Linked DNA regions of Tribolium castaneum. The protein of the gene in region 3 interacts with the protein of the main gene of each other region in a pairwise test. Links are inferred from orthologs where the notes say so. Each region holds a gene or a part of one and is shown on either strand. Other genes may lie near its edges.

The links.
Region 1: the proteins of serine/threonine-protein phosphatase PP1-beta catalytic subunit (region 3) and MYPT-75D interact in a two-hybrid assay, tested with the Drosophila melanogaster proteins (2 studies listed by BioGRID). The link is inferred for Tribolium castaneum from reciprocal best matches to the Drosophila melanogaster genes flw and MYPT-75D.
Region 2: the proteins of serine/threonine-protein phosphatase PP1-beta catalytic subunit (region 3) and serine/threonine-protein phosphatase 1 regulatory subunit 10 interact in a two-hybrid assay, tested with the Drosophila melanogaster proteins (2 studies listed by BioGRID). The link is inferred for Tribolium castaneum from reciprocal best matches to the Drosophila melanogaster genes flw and PNUTS.
Region 4: the proteins of serine/threonine-protein phosphatase PP1-beta catalytic subunit (region 3) and Sara interact in a two-hybrid assay, tested with the Drosophila melanogaster proteins (2 studies listed by BioGRID). The link is inferred for Tribolium castaneum from reciprocal best matches to the Drosophila melanogaster genes flw and Sara.
Region 5: the proteins of serine/threonine-protein phosphatase PP1-beta catalytic subunit (region 3) and NiPp1 interact in a two-hybrid assay, tested with the Drosophila melanogaster proteins (2 studies listed by BioGRID). The link is inferred for Tribolium castaneum from reciprocal best matches to the Drosophila melanogaster genes flw and NiPp1.

The regions. Positions count from the first base shown.
Region 1 is NC_087394.1:36,197,653-36,201,787, reverse strand, and holds the start of MYPT-75D (protein phosphatase 1 regulatory subunit 16A), read right to left. Parts: upstream 2,811-4,135; 5' UTR 2,582-2,810; intron 1-2,581.
Region 2 is NC_087398.1:6,659,062-6,662,232, forward strand, and holds the end of serine/threonine-protein phosphatase 1 regulatory subunit 10, read left to right. Parts: intron 1-917; coding exon 918-2,215; 3' UTR 2,216-2,655; downstream 2,656-3,171.
Region 3 is NC_087402.1:10,011,061-10,013,927, forward strand, and holds the end of serine/threonine-protein phosphatase PP1-beta catalytic subunit, read left to right. Parts: intron 1-1,359; coding exon 1,360-1,646; intron 1,647-1,696; coding exon 1,697-1,798; 3' UTR 1,799-2,363; downstream 2,364-2,867. UniProt on the Drosophila melanogaster protein: Required for cell adhesion in non-muscle tissues and in maintenance of muscle attachment. Vital for larval development.
Region 4 is NC_087401.1:15,933,879-15,937,997, reverse strand, and holds the start of Sara (zinc finger FYVE domain-containing protein 9), read right to left. Parts: upstream 2,808-4,119; 5' UTR 2,654-2,807; intron 2,605-2,653; coding exon 1,896-2,604; intron 1,846-1,895; coding exon 1,012-1,845; intron 1-1,011. Other genes in the region: ankyrin repeat domain-containing protein 13C, read left to right, coding at 4,011-4,119.
Region 5 is NC_087396.1:21,737,793-21,741,227, reverse strand, and holds NiPp1 (nuclear inhibitor of protein phosphatase 1), read right to left. Parts: upstream 2,068-3,435; 5' UTR 1,841-2,067; coding exon 1,812-1,840; intron 1,689-1,811; coding exon 1,474-1,688; intron 1,406-1,473; coding exon 1,188-1,405; intron 1,131-1,187; coding exon 579-1,130; 3' UTR 511-578; downstream 1-510. Other genes in the region: Aprt (adenine phosphoribosyltransferase), read left to right, coding at 1-362; EGF-like domain-containing protein 2, read right to left, coding at 2,445-3,435.

The DNA.
Region 1 (4,135 bases), on a different chromosome or scaffold from region 3:
AAAAAATCGTTTAGAACCAAAATATGCACTGTGCCAATAAGCGAATAAATGTTGATTAATTTTATTACAACTATTTTTAGTAACACGACTCGGGAGGGGTAATACATCACTGGAGATTACATAAATTCCATTTTTAGCAAAGTGACACTATTGCAAATCCAACTTTCTACTTCAGCTTTGTGAAAATTTTTAATCTAAATGTTACAGGTTAATTACACGCTGCATTTACGATCGATGGTGATATATTGCAGTTAACGGTGGTTTAACGTAATTTGCTCTATCTAGAATTGGACAAAGTGTCACAACGGGATTAACTGGAAAATTACTTAAACACCCATAATTTCTTATTGCCCTAACTGTCTTAATTGTTACCACTCTCACACAGTGCACTTATTTCTAAAAATAATATTAATTGTCGCTGTTATACAAACCAATTCCGTGTTTACATAAAATCTAAACACAATGAAAGTGTTATTAGCGCAATCAATAAGGAACTTAATGTCTAGTAAGGTGTCAAGGATGCTCTTTACAATATATCCTTAAGGCTTGAAGTTGATGTCACTGACACAGACAGTCAATGCCATGTATTTGGTTTTCTTGTGGCAAGTTGCTAACCACGAGAGAAATCAAGCTCTTTATCAAATGCATTTCATTTTTACTTTTTATACGCGAAATGATTTCAGCTCAAGATTAAATCCATCATTCAAAGTGCATTGACAGCTATCACAGTCTTTTCTTTGTAATTTTTCAAACGAGAGCCGCTTTGCGCATTTAGGTCGGCAATTAAAACGCAACAATAAAAATGATGTAAAAATCAAATTGCTACATGGATGTAAGCAACGTTAACAGCCACTGATCTTTTGATTTGCAATTTACGACAGAAAAACCAGTATTCCTAGTTAAATTTTATCAAAATAAGTCAATGATTACGGAGCAATAACAGCTGGGAAACTTTTGATAAGAAAATTTCAATACAATCTTAATTGCTGTTTTAATCAAGGTCTGATTTAATTGTTACAAAGGCAGGGTGAGTCAATTTCCTGATTCGTAATTATCTGCTAAAATTTTATTAGGAACTATTATTATTATTAAAAAGCGATTTTGATTCAATTAGTTACGTAAAAATCGAGCCGATTAAAAAAATACAAAGTGTGTCTACTAAGTCATTTTTACTGTATTTCAAAAACTACACACTTTTCTTAAAAACTTTTCTATAACTTCTTATAATAAATTTTTATTAATTAAAAATTTGCATTACAATAATAAATGATCGAAATTTTATGATTTCTGGTGCTTCTGATGTTTATAAGTGTGACTAAAAATTGCGATACTGAAACATTGAGAAACAAAAAAATTAATACTATAAAACTGTGAAACAGAAATTTTGAGACTAGAATACCTGAAAAATAGAGAGAAACTAAAAACTATGTACAATTAAATTATGAATAAAAAAATGAGTACAAAAACAGCTGAGAAACTTAAAAACTAACACCTAAACTATTGAGCTAAATACTGAATTTTTCCAAAATTCCTTATAATAAATATTTATTAATTAAAACATGTATTAAAATATTACATGATCGAATTTTTTTATAATTTCTGGTGCTTCTGATGTTTAATTATCTTTGCCTAAATTTCTAGTTTTTATTTAATTAATTATTTTTGGAGGTTAGCGCCATTTTTTACGTATTTTTTTTATAATAGTTAAGCATCGACATGAGAAATAATGTTTTGTGTAGCGACTTAATACTAATTAATATAAAAAATATACAGAAAGTAAAAGAGATTTAGATTTTTAAAAAGATCGATCCACACTTAACTTAGGTACTTAAGATATTATTAAAAGACATCCACTGAAGTAGCAAACATTCGCAATATCAAAAAGATAAAGAATTTTATCATGGAAATTTTGCCGAAAATTATCTACTGCATATATTGTAAAAACTGAGCATTATTTTTGTATAACCACATTTTACAAATATGTAATAATCGTTTTTAACTTTTTAATAAATGTTAGTATAATTTATTTCTGACTAATTAATCATTGGAAAGACTAGGACTTGCTTCGTCCCTCCAGTGACTACAAAACAATAACAATTTCTAAGATCAGAATGAATGAATCAAGAAGGTAGATGTCAAACTGGTATCGTGACGTCACGAGCAATTATTTTGCCGCTAACTGTACCGAACATCCGATTACAACAGTCCATAAATTACAAACAATTACAGGAACGATTAAAATGACAATAAAAAAATTAAAAAAAAATTGTATGTTACCAACAACTTTTTGGGAAGTTTTGGTGCCAGAATAATTTTTTTTACTGTACAACTCATAAAAAAATTCCTGTGGAAAAAAATACAAATAATTATTATCTCTGATCATGAATTGTAATCTTTGATACACTTGATAACTCGTCGAACGTGAGCAAACACAATAGCAAAAAGTTTGGAAAAGTTGATAAATCTCATAGTAAACAGCGTAAAGTCCGCACTGAAAGGCATTCAACCCTCACATGTATCGAAAAACAACCGGAAATGAGCACCGGAACGCTAAACAAAAATTTCAAAAAACTTTTCTCACCTTTCTAAACAGGTTAGCCGCATTTTTAAGTCCTACACATCGCAGTCGTCACTGAAAGTCCACATGTAATTTGAACGCACAGTTTTATCGACAATAATTCGCACATTTTTTTCGAATTTTCCACATTTTATCACAAAAACATCGCAGATGTGTACACCACAGTGCGTTGGAAGGAACGGTTTTCGGATAAGCTCCACTGCATTTTACGAGTTTACGTTCTTTCACCAACTACCTGCGCGAATCTACCGCGTCGATCAAGTCGCGCGCACCACGGGAGAGGAAGTGAGACCGTAAGGACTTCCGCTAGCTAGCAAAATATATCATTTTCTTAGAAACAACTCCCATTTCTAAAAATCACACTTCCGGTTTTTTTTGGCGAAAAAAATTGTAGTTGTGATGAAGACAATGGTTTTTGCAGTTTATTTTATAATTTACATAATTTTATACAGCCCGTTTCGTTTAAACCCCCACATAAGAAGTATTGAAAGTTATAATAAAAAAATTTATTTGAAAGTTGGTACTCAGCCGTAATCTGTTAAGTTCTGCGCAATAAAAATATTTTCAAGATGGCTAGCAACTTTTTTATTTTGAATAGAAAGCTATGTTTTTCAAAAGGAGTTTTATCAGCTTTTCCTATACCTAAGTTCAACGATTTTGGAAATAGTATTTAAGATTTTTTGAAAATTTTTGAATTTGCAACTGACTAAAACATAAACTATTAAACATAAGTATAGGGAATGCTAGTAAAGATCAATGGAGAATTAGGTTCTTTACGATTTAATGAAATAAAACTAGTGGCATTTCATTTGAAAAAATTAACTTATGGGTGCTTAAAGTTCTGGAAACTTAATTTTAAACATTTAGGGCTTGTTATTATTTCTTAGAAATATGAAATCACCAAAGGAAAGATCTAGGGTTCTTCTTTCAATTGAGCTAAAAAATATTTTCAATTTTTTTTTAAATGGCAGAGTTATCGATTTCTCCCTGTATTTGGCTTAGAGGATTAAAAACTGGCAGTTTTTTTATTTAGGAGTAAAAAGTAATGTAAAAATACGTAATAAAATACAGAATTTTTTTTGTTACATCAGAATATTTCACGCTTGAGCCCAGTATGGTATTTAACTATTTACCCAACTCTGTTGCCCACGACTTTATCAGCATGGTCAGGCTTTGAGTTTGTAAATGTCAAATCGCTACGACAATCAGTCAACTGTCAGATTCTGTGAAAAACTTTAATTTGATAAGAAATAGGTAAACGATTTAATGTGATAAAGGTAGAGTTGTCCCTTTTTTTCGAAATTCTCCATTTATTATTTAAATAGTTTTACTTAACGTTATGGCGATGCAATAATCCCTTGGTTGGAAGCTAAGTTCTTTTATAAAATGTGTAGTTTTGTCTTACATTTGGTGATTTGGTTAATGTAGTGAAATTGTACAAAACATGAGCGGAAAATTAAACTTTGCCATTTTGGCTGGTTTTTGTGCGTCTGCAGCCAGTTTATTTGGAAAGTTGTCGGGGTTGCCTACATTCGAGGTAAATGAACAAAAAGTGGT
Region 2 (3,171 bases), on a different chromosome or scaffold from region 3:
ACTTGTTACCGCATGCTAAAAGACCTGTTAAATATACAAATAAGTAAATAATTCGATGACGCAATCCGTTTAGATTGTAATAAAAGCATATCAAGTGCCAGAGACCACATGTTACTAATTTTCGAATAGATTTTTTGCAGTTGTCGAGAATCTGCTTGGACATCTTCGAAGTTTACATCTTCCTCATTGCCGCGTGACAGATTCTACCACAGAGGGCCAGAGTTGTTGCGTGCGTAAGTATGGGAAGTCTGTAAACTTCGAGATGAAAGTGCAGTCGACTCGTCATTTATTTTTATCGAATAATAAAGCTAGCGCAGTAATTAATACAAAAAATATTCGTCAACACTCCTCGACAGTGTTAAAAAATTACAAAGGCAGCGGAACCGGCGATTTCACTGCGCTTGCGTTGTGCAAACATAGTTACCTAAGCTCTTCAGTGATTCCCATAATCCACGCACTATAAGAAAAAGAGCGGGTTAAAAAATGAAAAGCACATAATTAACCACTGAACAAGTTGACCAAACTGTTGTATGTGTAACGAATGCAACAGGAATTCTTTTGCTGAGATAAAACAAGTAACATAATCTTATTATTCGTCACAATTCCGCAATTTGCAAAATGTAATTCGATATTTTATTTATCAAATTGTTTCATTTGTAGCGCTAAAAGGGGCGCAACAATCGAGCGCACCTTGACATTCACTAAATATAATAACAGTTGTGTAATAGGAGCGATAATTGATTTTATGACTGATATTTTCTTTCTTCCACTGTTTGAATATGTAATTTTTCCTTAATTATTTCAAGTTGAAGGACGTTTGGTGGATTTACGAGGACTTTGTCAAGATGTTTAGCCTCCGATCTTGTTTACAAAATAAAAACAGTTTGTAAAAGATTTCTAATTTTAGTTTTTTGCAGCGCCGGTGTTACAAGAAAGCGACATATTCATGGACGCTCTTGCGGCTTCAGCAACGTCGAAAAAAGAGCCCAAGAAGCGGAAACGACGTCCGAGTGTCACAAAAGACACTCCAAGTTCCCCAACAACGCAAGAACCCCAAACACCAACATCGCCCGTCACCTCGCCCATCGGTTTGAAAAATATCGCGGCGCCAAACTTCTACCAGGACACTTTACAAACGGAACAAACCGACGAAAAGGACGAAAACAAGGAAGAAACCGAACGGTCGGGCACCCCGATCGAAGAGGACGAGCGGCCGCGGACGGACGGCGGCCTCAAGGGCGTCCTGGTCTACACCAAGAAGAAAGGACCGAAAAAATCGGTCAAATTCAACGACAACAACTTAACACAAGTGCGCTTCTTCGAACTGGACGAAACCGAGCGAGTGAATGTAACGAAGAACTTCATGGACATGGCGAAGATGGAGATGACGAGCGAGCGCGAAGCGCTGCAAATGTCGCGGAAACTGCCAAACGAGGACATAATGGAGCCCCAAACGATGTGGCGGCTGCCGTACCTGATCGACTTACCCGACCCCCTGGCAGCCCCCGGTTGCAAAAGTTTGGAGAAAGACATACAATTCGCCCGGGAAAAGAGCGTGCTCCAGGCCCTGTACTTCGACAAGCGGAAAATTCCGGATAGTCCGGAAGAACCAGTCCCGGAGACGCACCAAATGAGCGACCCCATCAACATTCCACTTGAGGACGCGGACAGTCAGGAGATGGACCTGCGGAACACCCCCTGGCCGGAGCCGAAGGGGTCGCCGCCCCCCATGCAGGAGAATCTGCCCCCGCAGATATTCTCCAACATGGCGGTGCCTTTCCAGAACTTCCAGCCCCCGGCGTTCCAGGGCATGCCGCCGAGGTTTGGCCCCCAGAACGGGCCGTTCGGGGGCCCTCCGAATATGATGCCCAATGGGAATATCATGGGGCCGCCCCCGGACATGATGCACCAAGGGCCGCTTAACCCGAACGCCTTCGGGCCGGAGAATTTCAACAATCCCATGATGAATGACAATAATTTCCCCATGCCGTTTAACCCCCCGAATATGGGGATGTTTCCGCCGAATAATTTTAATATGAACAGAGGGAGAGGGGGCTTCAGGAGAGGGGGTAATAATGGGCCGTGGATTAGGATGAACGGGCCCGGAAATTGGAACAATCGGGGCGGTGGGGGCAGGGGGCGCCTGTGCAAAAACGTGAAAAATCATGGATATTGTAGGAATATGGATAAGTGCCCCTTTATCCACCCCAAATGAGCGACTTTTGTGGCTTTTAATTCGATAAGTGTTCTTGTGATATAGTTAAGAGTGTAGTTATGTATATACATTTTGTGATTTTTTAAGTGTAGCAGACTTTTTTAAAGTACAAATTACTTAAACGTAAACGTGACCTACATATGATGAGGATGTTGTCATACATTTTAATTTATTCAATTGTGATTTAGCGCTAGAGTGAACGATGTATGTACAGAGTACTATTTCACACCGGTGTAAATAATTATTAGGTATGTTTTAAGATGTAAAGAGTAAGATTTTGTAAAATACATTTTGATGTTAATTTTTCCAAGCAAATTTAATATAATGTTAATATTAATTGAAATGGATATTTATCAGTGACATTAATTTTATACTTAATTTTAAGAGCGGATTATTTTCATTTTTTAAATAAATTTTATAGGCACAGACTTTAACAGTTACGTACGTTTTTCATTATCACAATAACAATAATATGACCCACTTAACACAAAAAACTGGCCAAAACTGGAAAAAGCTCCAGACAAAACAAGGCTAAACTAAGCCGCGTGTTAAGTATACAAATTTTTATTTTAGGCTTCTACATTTAGGGAATTTTTAGTTAGTTGGTGACGCATATCCAATAAAATTTACATATTCGTATTTGCAGTGTTGCAAACTCTGTTGACCAAAATATATTACCAACCGAAACAGTCTTTCTGGATCACGCGTATTATTTAATCTTCAAAATGAATGTTTGCAGAGAATTATTTTCATACATTTATAATGAAAAAAGTAAAAAATAGCATTATCACGACCACACACTAATGAAAACAGGTTCAAACAAGTGAAAACTTGAACTTAATCTAAATTATTTATATCAAGACTTGTAAAATCCGTAAATCAAAGTGAATAACGCCGATCATTTTGTTGAATAATTTGTAAGTTTAATTTAAACTACTGTAATCGTTAGATAGTAA
Region 3 (2,867 bases):
GGTATCACAAAAAAATAGAGATCTTAGTAATAAATCATTTGATTTTTATGTATTTAAAAATATCAAAACTCGACAGTTAAAATTTAAATTCGTTTTATTATAATGTTAAAAAAACGACTATTGGGCACCAGTTGGTAATAGTACTTTAGTTTGGTAGATTTCTTGCTTAAAAACGAAAAAACTCGCAGCCAAAAATGTAAAGTAGGCTTTAGGTCAATTTTGTTGAAATTATTTGAGTTGATTGAGTTGATTCCTGAGTCAAAAATTCTGTCAAGGAAAACAACGATTTCAGCACCCATTTAAAGATAAATAATATAATTTCGGACGATTTCTTGTTATAAAATGAGAAAACTCGCTGAAAAATTTCTATTTTCTGTTGGTACCTTTTTAAGCCTTCTTTTTAATATGAATATTACAAACACTGTTTTAAGACACGTTTCCGATAGCAACGTGTTTTTACTATTCTAAAACACGCTTCTCATAGCAACGTGTTTTAAATTAAAATGTTGTAACGAAAAAAAATTGATAACATTTATACGAAAACGCTTGAAGTTCTCGAGTGTGTTCTCGCTCGACAGCCCCCGAACTTTAAGCTTATGTTTTCGCACTCGTGTTATTAATAACTTTAATTTCTTTAAACTGGCTGGAAACGCAAAATTAAACATTTTTGAAATCAGTTTATTTTATACGGTTTCTTGCTCAAAAATGTTAAAAACTCGCTGTCGAAAACCTGAAGTCGCTTTATTCGCACCACAAACCTTTTGAAACATGACTGAAAATGGCTTATTTTGGATGATTCCTTGCTTACAAATTAGTAAACTTTTATAGAAGACACTGAAAGTTTATTTTGGACAATTTCTTGCTTAAAATCGAAAAAAAGCACGTGTTTATTTCACAAATCGGCTGATATGTGGAACTAATTCAACAGAGAAAGGCCATCATTAAAGTATGCTAGGTTGAACTAATTCTATTAAAAGATGTGCATTATTTGCATATTTGCTTAAAAATGTAAATTTTAAATCACCGACTTAATAATTTTCTTACAATAAACGACCTGTGTGTATGATTTCTGTATTTTATTCATCAAAATAAAGCCAACTTTTTGCATTTTGAAATTAAACCTCCACTTGTTTGCGAAATATAGATTAAGAAGAATTTTCGGTTATATATTTGCAAGTGAACAAATCATTTTTTTGCGTTATTTTATGTTTGATTTAAGCACGAAAAAACCTGAAAAATCGGTGTTTGTTAACACCTTGGTTGTTTGTGCTTCCACTGAAAATGAAAAAGTCTGTGTTGCCAACCTAATTTCGGAGTCATCGGCTGCTGGTATTTTATTCGATTTAATTCAAAAACCAGGTCTGCTGTGCGATTTGCTGTGGTCCGACCCTGATAAAGACGTGCAAGGTTGGGGTGAGAACGACCGCGGAGTGTCATTTACTTTCGGCGCTGATGTCGTTAGTAAATTTTTGAACCGTCACGATCTAGATTTGATCTGTCGCGCCCATCAAGTGGTGGAGGATGGGTACGAATTTTTCGCAAAAAGACAACTAGTCACGCTTTTCTCAGCCCCGAATTATTGCGGCGAGTTTGACAACGCTGGAGGGATGATGAGTGTAGATGAAACGTTAATGTGTTCTTTTCAGGTGAGGATTAGGTTTTTGTGTTTTGGTTCGTTTTGTAATTTTTTGTGTAGATTTTGAAGCCGTCGGAAAAGAAAGCCAAGTATCAATACCAAGGAGTGAACTCAGGACGTCCCTCAACGCCTCAGAGAAACCCAACAACTAAAAAGAAATAAAGTCGAGTAATTGACACCTCTTTTCATTTTTATTCAACTAATGCATTTGTAACGTTTATTCTCTAATACTGCTAGACAGTCAGTCGCATTGTGTTGAAGTATTATTATTTTGTATATTTATTTAGTTTTGTTCATTTTTTTTTAATTAAATTGTGATTATTTTGACTGATTAGGAGTTTTCTTTTTGACTGACTGGTCGTATTTCTATTGTAAATAAATATACGCAATTATTAATTTATTTAGGAACGAGACCAGTGATTGGTGTATTATTTAAAGAAACTATTGTTAAATTATCTTGCTTGCATTTCCATGTGCATCATAAAGTGGCCCAGCCAAAGACTTTGTGATTGGTCATTAAATGTTGTAGAAGAATCATTTTTCTTTGGTTCCTAAATGCTGCAATCGCATCTTGACATTTTGCAATCACCTCTTTGTATAGAAATTGGCATAAACGCGATTTTTTCACTCGTACTATCGTTTATGTTTTATATTTTATTTCGTTCTATTGACAAATCTATTTCACCTAATGTACTTTAAATTTGACAAATAAATCTATATATTACTAGCGACGCCTTTTTATCTTTCAAACCTTTGTCCTTTTTCTCCGATTAACACAATTTAGAATAAGTGGAAATTTTTCTGATCTTCTAAATATGAGTAATGAGTTGCTTTTTATGACAGTTTTTATGAAGAATCAATAAAAACTCGAATTAAATAAGAAAAACTGGAAGCGGAAGAGGTCATAATTTGCAGGAGGCCAGCAAACAGTAATAAAGTGCCCAAAGACTAATTTCTTAAATATTTTATTCAAATATAGGCGTTTACCAAATTTAATTTAGCAGCATTTTTACACAATTTATGAGATACACAAATACGTTTAGAATTTTATCATAAAACAAATAACCTTATCGAAGTGTTACAATAATTACTTACATTATTCATCAAAGCTTAGAGATACTATCACCTTTTTTATCACTATACCTGTAACTGTGACGTGGTTTCAGAAGGCGTAACAATTTATAATTTCACCCTTTATGCTTTTTGCGTTTATTTTTTTCTGTTGTACATA
Region 4 (4,119 bases), on a different chromosome or scaffold from region 3:
CATGGCCAACTTTAAGTGCCAGTATTTTATTTTTTTAATTAATTGTGAGTATCAATTTTTTTTTTCAAATTGGACAAACTTTTTTATCAGTGACTATGAATTTAATTTGGTAATAGGGTGTAACTGTCACATTTCCATGGCCAACTTTAAGTGCCAGTATTTTTTTTTTAATTAATTGTGAGTATCAATTTTTTTTCAAGTTGGACAAACTTTTTTACCAGTGACTATGAATTTAATTTGGTAACAGGGTGTAACTGTCACATTTCCATGGCCAACTTTAAGTGTCAGTATTTTTTTTTAATTAATTGTATCAATTTTTTTTTCAAGTTGGACAAACTTTTTTATCAGTGACTATGAATTTAATTTGGTAACAGGGTGTAACTGTCACAATTCCATAGCCAACTTTAAGTGCCAGTATTTTTTTTAATTAATTGTGAGTACCAATTTTTTTTTCAAGTTGGACAAACTTTTTTACCAGTGACTATGAATTTAATTTGGTAACAGGGTGTAACTGTCACATTTCCATGGCCAACTTTAAGTGTCAGTATTTTTTTTTAATTAATTGTATCAATTTTTTTTTCAAGTTGGACAAACTTTTTTATCAGTGACTATGAATTTAATTTGGTAACAGGGTGTAACTGTCACAATTCCATAGCCAACTTTAAGTGCCAGTATTTTTTTTAATTAATTGTGAGTACCAATTTTTTTTTCAAGTTGGACAAACTTTTTTACCAGTGACTATGAATTTAATTTGGTAACAGGGTGTAACTGTCACATTTCCATGGCCAACTTCAAGTGCCAGTATTTTTTTTTAATTAATTGTGAGTATCAATTTTTTGTTTTCAAGTTGGACAAACTTTTTTATCAGTGACTATGAATTTAATTTGGTAACAGGAGGTAACTGTCACAATTCCATAGCCAACTTTAAGTGCCAGTATTTTTTTTGATTAATTGTGAGTATAATTTTTTTTTTCAAATTGGACAATGGTACCTTCCATGGCCAACTTTTACCTGATTTGTTTATGGTGACAGTCGGGGGCAAATCGTCCCCCTTGGGTATAAAACTATTAGTTTCCGGATCAACAACCGGAAAATTTTTCTCGCCCCCTTTGACCCCACTGTAATTAAAATCATTATCCAGATTGGTTAAATCACTCCCGGGCCTAATTCCATCGCAAAACATCACACTTTTATTAGTCCTTTTACTCGACCCTTTCCTCTTAAGCACCCCAACTGGCACCATCACAGCAGGCGGTGCCACATTCCCTGCCACTTGCTGATGTGGTGGTACAGTTGAACAATACTCAAGTGGATTATTCGGATTCGGTTGCGATCTGGGGGAATTTGACTCGCTGTCTGAACTATTGGTAACCGTGGCGGCTTTCTCCAACTGTTCGTAACACTTCGTACAAACTCGTGCCACATCGTCGAGATACTCAAGCCTGTACTTAAGGTTACAACATTTCGAACACAGGACGTAACCACAGGCACGACAGTGGTGGCGACGTTTGATTACAGTGAATTTAGTGTCGCAATGTTGGCAATTGAGCGCTTCCGAATCGGGGATCCACACGGGGGCTTGTTTACCCAACGTAGCGTCTGAAACTTGCGGGGGCTCCAGTTGGTCACCGGCACCCCCTTCGGGGGGTTCGGTTGGGGCCGCCTCCCGTGCCGGCTCCTCCACCGTGTCGGTGGAGGGCGTGCACGACGAATTTGTCTCACTGGAAATGTCCGAAAAAGTGGGGGAAGCGGAAGTTGAACATTCAGTATCACTGTTTTGTTTCACTTCCTGGGGCAACTCCTTATTTACGTAAACGTTGTTATAGGGAGTTGAACCAGGCTCGCCTAAAAAAGTCACTAAATCTGGGGGAAGTTTTCGCGGCGGTGGTACCAACCCACTAGGTCTATGACCGGTTTTTCGTCCTCTTGTTGTGGCAATGGCAGGTTGTTAGGCCGCACACTTGATGTTGTTTCGTCTTCTTCGCTTGTTTTGGGTGTTGTATTGTCATATTCTTGCTCCAATTCGTCCAAATATCGGTTCAATTCCGACTCATCTAAATCAATGTCGTCATCAAAGCCTACTTTGGACACACCTGTGTCGCCCTTTTCTTCACTCTCAAGGTCACTTGGTTCGTCAGTCTTTTGTTCAATTGACTCGTTTGTTGCAACCAAAGCGACTTGATTTTCCTCAACCGGGGGCGAGTCGCGTGACTCGACTTCAACCGTTTCTTCAGATTCTTCCTGATCACTTTCCTCGTTCTTATCCTCTACTAGTGAGATTATTTCAGTTTCTTCCTCAACTACGTGGTTAATTTCGCCGTTTTCGGCCTCAATTACGTGGTTTTCGTCACTTTGAGTGACCTCTTCGGGCGCATTATTGGCGGAATTTTCGCCAGTCTCGGGCAAAATCGGCTCACATTTGGGTGAAATATCGGTGTTTAAATACTCGTTCAGGCTGTGAAAGACGTTGTTGATCGAATGTTTGACATTCGAGTTTTTGAAATTGTTGAAATTTTGCTTGTGGTTTGAACTGTGTTGGTCGGTTAGTTCGCTATATTCGAAATCGTTCAAAACCTGGTCTAAATCCACCGTGTATTTATCCATCTGAAAAAGGGGGCTTGGCCTCAAGTGTCGCAATTAGGTCGCAACTCACTTCCGGTTATTAAATAACCCAGATATTTCATTGCACTATTTGAAAATAAATAAATATAAACAAAAAACCCACTTTTTTGGCTTTTATAACCACACTAAAATATCACAATCAGCTGACTCGAATGACATTGGGGACGGTTGGTAACAAAAAAGTCACTGATTGTGTGCTGAGGCTTGGCCAATAGACGCAAAGCGCGCGAACTACGTCATCCAGTATGCTTATTTAAATTGTTAGAGTGCAGTAGAAACTTTCGTGACATTAAAAATTTTTTTGTGGCAACTCTATTAGTTAATTAGTTAATTTATTTATAATTATTTTTAGAAATTGAAAATTTTTTTTTGAAAAAATTTGCACGTTTAGAGTAAAATTTAAAATATTTAACAGCAAACGCAGATTTCTGTGCCACTATTAGTTTTTAAAATACTGTAAAAATATTATTTATGCAACAAGTGCGTAACGTAACACTTTTTTTAACGAATTGGAACAGTTCAGCAATTTTTACAAGTTAAAAAAAGATATTTATTTACTTACGAGATGCATACAACGTTTTTTCTACATCCTACACAAAAAAATCACACGTTACGCCACATTTTTAACGCATAAAGAGTGAAAACATTAAACGCTACGGCATGTTTTTCACACTTTTTAATCGTTCAAGCGTCATATACAGGGTGGTCCAGCTCAGCTTCTGTCTTCTGTAGCTCAGTTATTAGTAAAGCTGGACTTTCGATATTCTACAGACGTTATTTATACTGTAGGACGTATTTTAGAAGAAGATTTTTGATTATACAGAGTGTCCCAAAGAAGTATGACATCATAATAATTTTTTTTTCAATGGCATGCTATTATTTGTTAGTGCTTATTAGGATGCCTTTCTAGCTTCTTTCATGTCGGTAAAGTTTTTTTTAATTGCTTCCGGGATTACTGTTAAAAATAAAACTCAAAAAAATTGGTTTTATATCTTTATTGATTTGAATTGTTACAATTTTTTTCCACACCTAGAACTTTTTATTTTGCTTATTTCAAATGGCAACCCTTGTTTATTTTTATATAATTTAATGCAAAATTAAAAAAAAACATTTTTTTCTTATTACAACCCTAACGTATTTTTATAAATCCTAACACATTCGTAGTTATTTGATAAAAACTTGTTTTCTACCCAAAATTATACTTGTTTTATTATTATTATTTCTTATTACTACAAAAACTAGTTTTTTTAGTCGCTTACGCATAAATTATTTATAATTTTTATTAAAAAAATTGAAAAACTGGTGAGCATCCTGGGTGACGTCACAGTTTTTTTGCGTTGGTAACTTAAAACCCCCCAATTAGGTTAGTAGGAAACTAGAATTGAAAAATGGCCGAGGAAAATGACAGTTATCCTCTCCACCAAGCTGTTTTTAATAACGATTTGAAATCCCTGTCCCGCCTCTTGCGCAAACACGATGTGGGGGCCAAAGACAAGC
Region 5 (3,435 bases), on a different chromosome or scaffold from region 3:
AATGTATCGTGGGATTGGATGCTCGGGGGTTTCTCTTGGGGCCGTTGATGGCGATTGATTTGAACATACCTTTCGTTCCAATTCGGAAAAAGGGTAAACTACCGGGGAAAATTTTGTCGGCGCAGTATGCTCTCGAGTACGGTCATGACACTGTTGAAATTCAGGAAAATAGCATAAGTAAGGGGCAACGCGTCCTGCTTGTGGACGATTTGTTAGCCACGGGGGGCAGTCTAGGGGCTGCCTGCCAGCTCGTGCGAGGGGCAGGTGGCGAAGTCGCAGGGTGTCTCGTTCTAATGGAGCTCGAGGGGCTCAAAGGCCGGGAGAAGGTGCCAGCAGAGGTATTGTCCATTATTAAATATTAATTTTTTGATTGATATTTCAATCGAGAGTGCCTTGCATTCCATCAAGTAGTGAAATAAAAAACCTATTTTTGTCAAGTTGGTGTTAGTTTGAAACTGTTTCCCAGAATTCAGAAATTATTTCGCCATGTTTTTCGATAAAAGAAACTACTTTTCGTTTTTTATTGAATATTTAATCTATGACCTTGAGAAAATTACATCAAAAGCTTACACCTAATCCTAGACCAATAGCGTTTGCGTGGGCTTCTTGCCAGGCCACGCCTCCTTGGCATACTTCTTTTTCTTGGGCTCCATGGCGTCCGCAATTTGTACTTGGGGCGGGACAAAGGGAGTGGGCGGGGCGAAGTTCTGTCCCATGTCGACATCTGGCGCCGGATTGGGTAAAACCATTCCAAGGCGTGAACTTAACGAACTGTAAATGCTTAAATTCCCTGAACTGGTTGGAGAGTGGGATTCGGGGGGCAGGTCTGTGTACAAATCGGGGGCGGAGGGATGAAGGATTTTGGGATTTTTGTATTCAGTGGGGATTCCGATATTCTCAGCCGCGAATTTGGCCCTCTTGATGGTTGAAGGTACAACGGTGGTTTGGACCAAGTTTCGGAATTTACCGATACTCGGGTCCACATCTTCAGGGTTTATGATCTCTTCGTCCTCGTTGAAGGAAACGACTTGGCGTTTGCGCTTCCGGTTGGTGTTGCGTTTTTCCGTGTCGTCGGTGATTCCCAGCATTGATATCCGCCGGTTGTGGGCGGTGTTAAATTCCGTCAAATTCTATGGAAAAAAATATTTTTTGTAAAGCTCTCAGCTTCGCTGGTTGGGGTGGTTTACATCGAGTTCCGTTTCGGTCTCGGGGAGCCCCAGCAATCCGCCCTCGGTCTCCTCGCCCGCCTTTTCGATCTCGTCAATGATCGGCCGCATGCCCGTCTGGGGCCGCTCCCTGATCGTGTAATTTCGCGTGGACGCCCCAAAGTGAAAACTAGAATCAATAGGCAACTGAGTGGGTTTATACGCCTCAAGTCTTAATGATCCTATGAAGGTGCCATGGGCTAAAACAACGCAAATTATCCAAGTCTTGACACAAAAAAGCCCTAAGTTGCGCACACGTGACACTTACTGCTCCCCAAATCCACCAGAAACGCCCGATCTAAGTGTTTGTGCCAAACGAGGGCTGCATGAACCCGCGAACATGACGCGTGATCGATGCAGAAATCGTTCATTTGGGCGTTGCGTCCAAATAAGTAACACTTTTTGTCGTCGATCATCAATTTTTGTATTAGTTTGTCGCCCTTTAGCACGTCCAAATGCAAACCCACGGGGGGCTTGCCTGCCCTGAAACAGCATAACCTCAACACACAAAAACACACGATTTGTGGATTGTGTGACAGAAAAGGGGGCGAAATGATAAGTGAGGGGTTCAGGGGCCAATAACACAATTTTTCAAGGATTATTTACCAATTTGGCACCTCATAATGGTTTGCCATTTGTCGCTTTTTTGGCAGGTGACATAACGCTACGTCCGAAGTTGCACAAGGCCGAATAAAACAACCTCGTTATTTGTCAATCTAACGACATTAAAACGCACCCAAATAATAAGCCCATCGTTTGTTTGTTATAAAATCACTGTTTTAAACTTTTTGTACCGATTTGGCACCGCATTGATTTGAGAAAACCTGCTATTATGTAGTACGAAAGTGCTTATGACCGAGGAATCATCAACTGATCAACACCAACTCAAAAGTTATGGGTTCAAACCCTGACCCAGACCATTTTTTTTTTTCGTTTATATGTATTATGAACTAATCGCTTACAATGAATCGTAATGATTTACTAGTTTTACGCCTCAAATTATGTAAATTTCAATCAATAAAGTCCCATACAAAAAAATTATGCTTTTTTATTAAACAAATTTAGTCTGTCGTTGTCGTCAACCTTGATAAAAGAAAACCCCACGCTACAAAATTCTTACTTTATTAGTCAAGTATTTACATAAATATGGGCCTACGATAATTAAAAAACTTAAATAAAATACTGGAGTCACAATAACTTAATGGACGGAACTACATTGGCAGGATTGTGGTAAAGTTGTCACCCTTTGTGAGCAATCCGTTGGTTCTTCAACCAGAGACAAGCACTTAGTACACTACTGGCAGTGAGTAGCGAGATCAAAATCGCCGAAACTAGTAGAAAATTCTGCGTCGTCATACAAACTTCCCCCTCAAACGCGGCCTCAGTATTGCCAATATCGTTCAAATCCTCCGCCAAAACGACCCTCAGGTGCTTCCCCATTGTGACCCCGTCAGTGTTATTATAGTACGAAAGGTCACGTTTGCGCCTCCTCCCAGGCTCGATTTGCTGGTTGGGCTCTGGACACACCTGACAGTCGGTTTTGCAAAGCTCAATGTTGCACTGAATCATCAAATCCATCACATCTGGGAATTTAAAAGCGTTGAAAAACGCGTAGGCAATGATGGAAGCGCCGGTATTTCCCGTGTTTCGTGTTTTTTGGAACGCGCCAAATAGTTTGGGTTTGAGAATACAGCCGTTTTCGTCGGTTAGGGGGTACACGCGGTCGCCGGTCGAGTCCGTAGCCCTGCAGTCTTTGACTTGGATGTCAAAACCGGGGTCTCCGGTCACGGAGATAACAAGGGTCATTTGCTCCCCGATTTTGACCAAACCGTTGGCCGGGGGCGCGAATGGGCCTTTGCCCAGTTGGATGTCCAGCTTGGCCATGGCGGTGTCCCCACTGAAAGTCACAATCTCCTGGCTTAGCATCCCCACGCTGAGCGCCACGCTGAGGGAGTCCTTCAGGTTGCCCTCCCAGAGGCACCTCACAGCTCTGATTGTGTCCCAAACCTCCTGGATCCCTTGCTCGTTTTGGATCACGAGGACGTTCTCCAGGTACGACTGTCCTTGAGTATCAAACGCGTTGATAAATTCAGTCCCACAAGAGTTCAAACTGACGGTGAAGCGGTATTTCGTCATTTCGGAATTTTCGTTCACGTAGCGACATTCAGGCATGTTGTAGTAGCCTTTGGAGTAAATCACTCCATTGAACTCGCGGTTAAATTCAATCGTG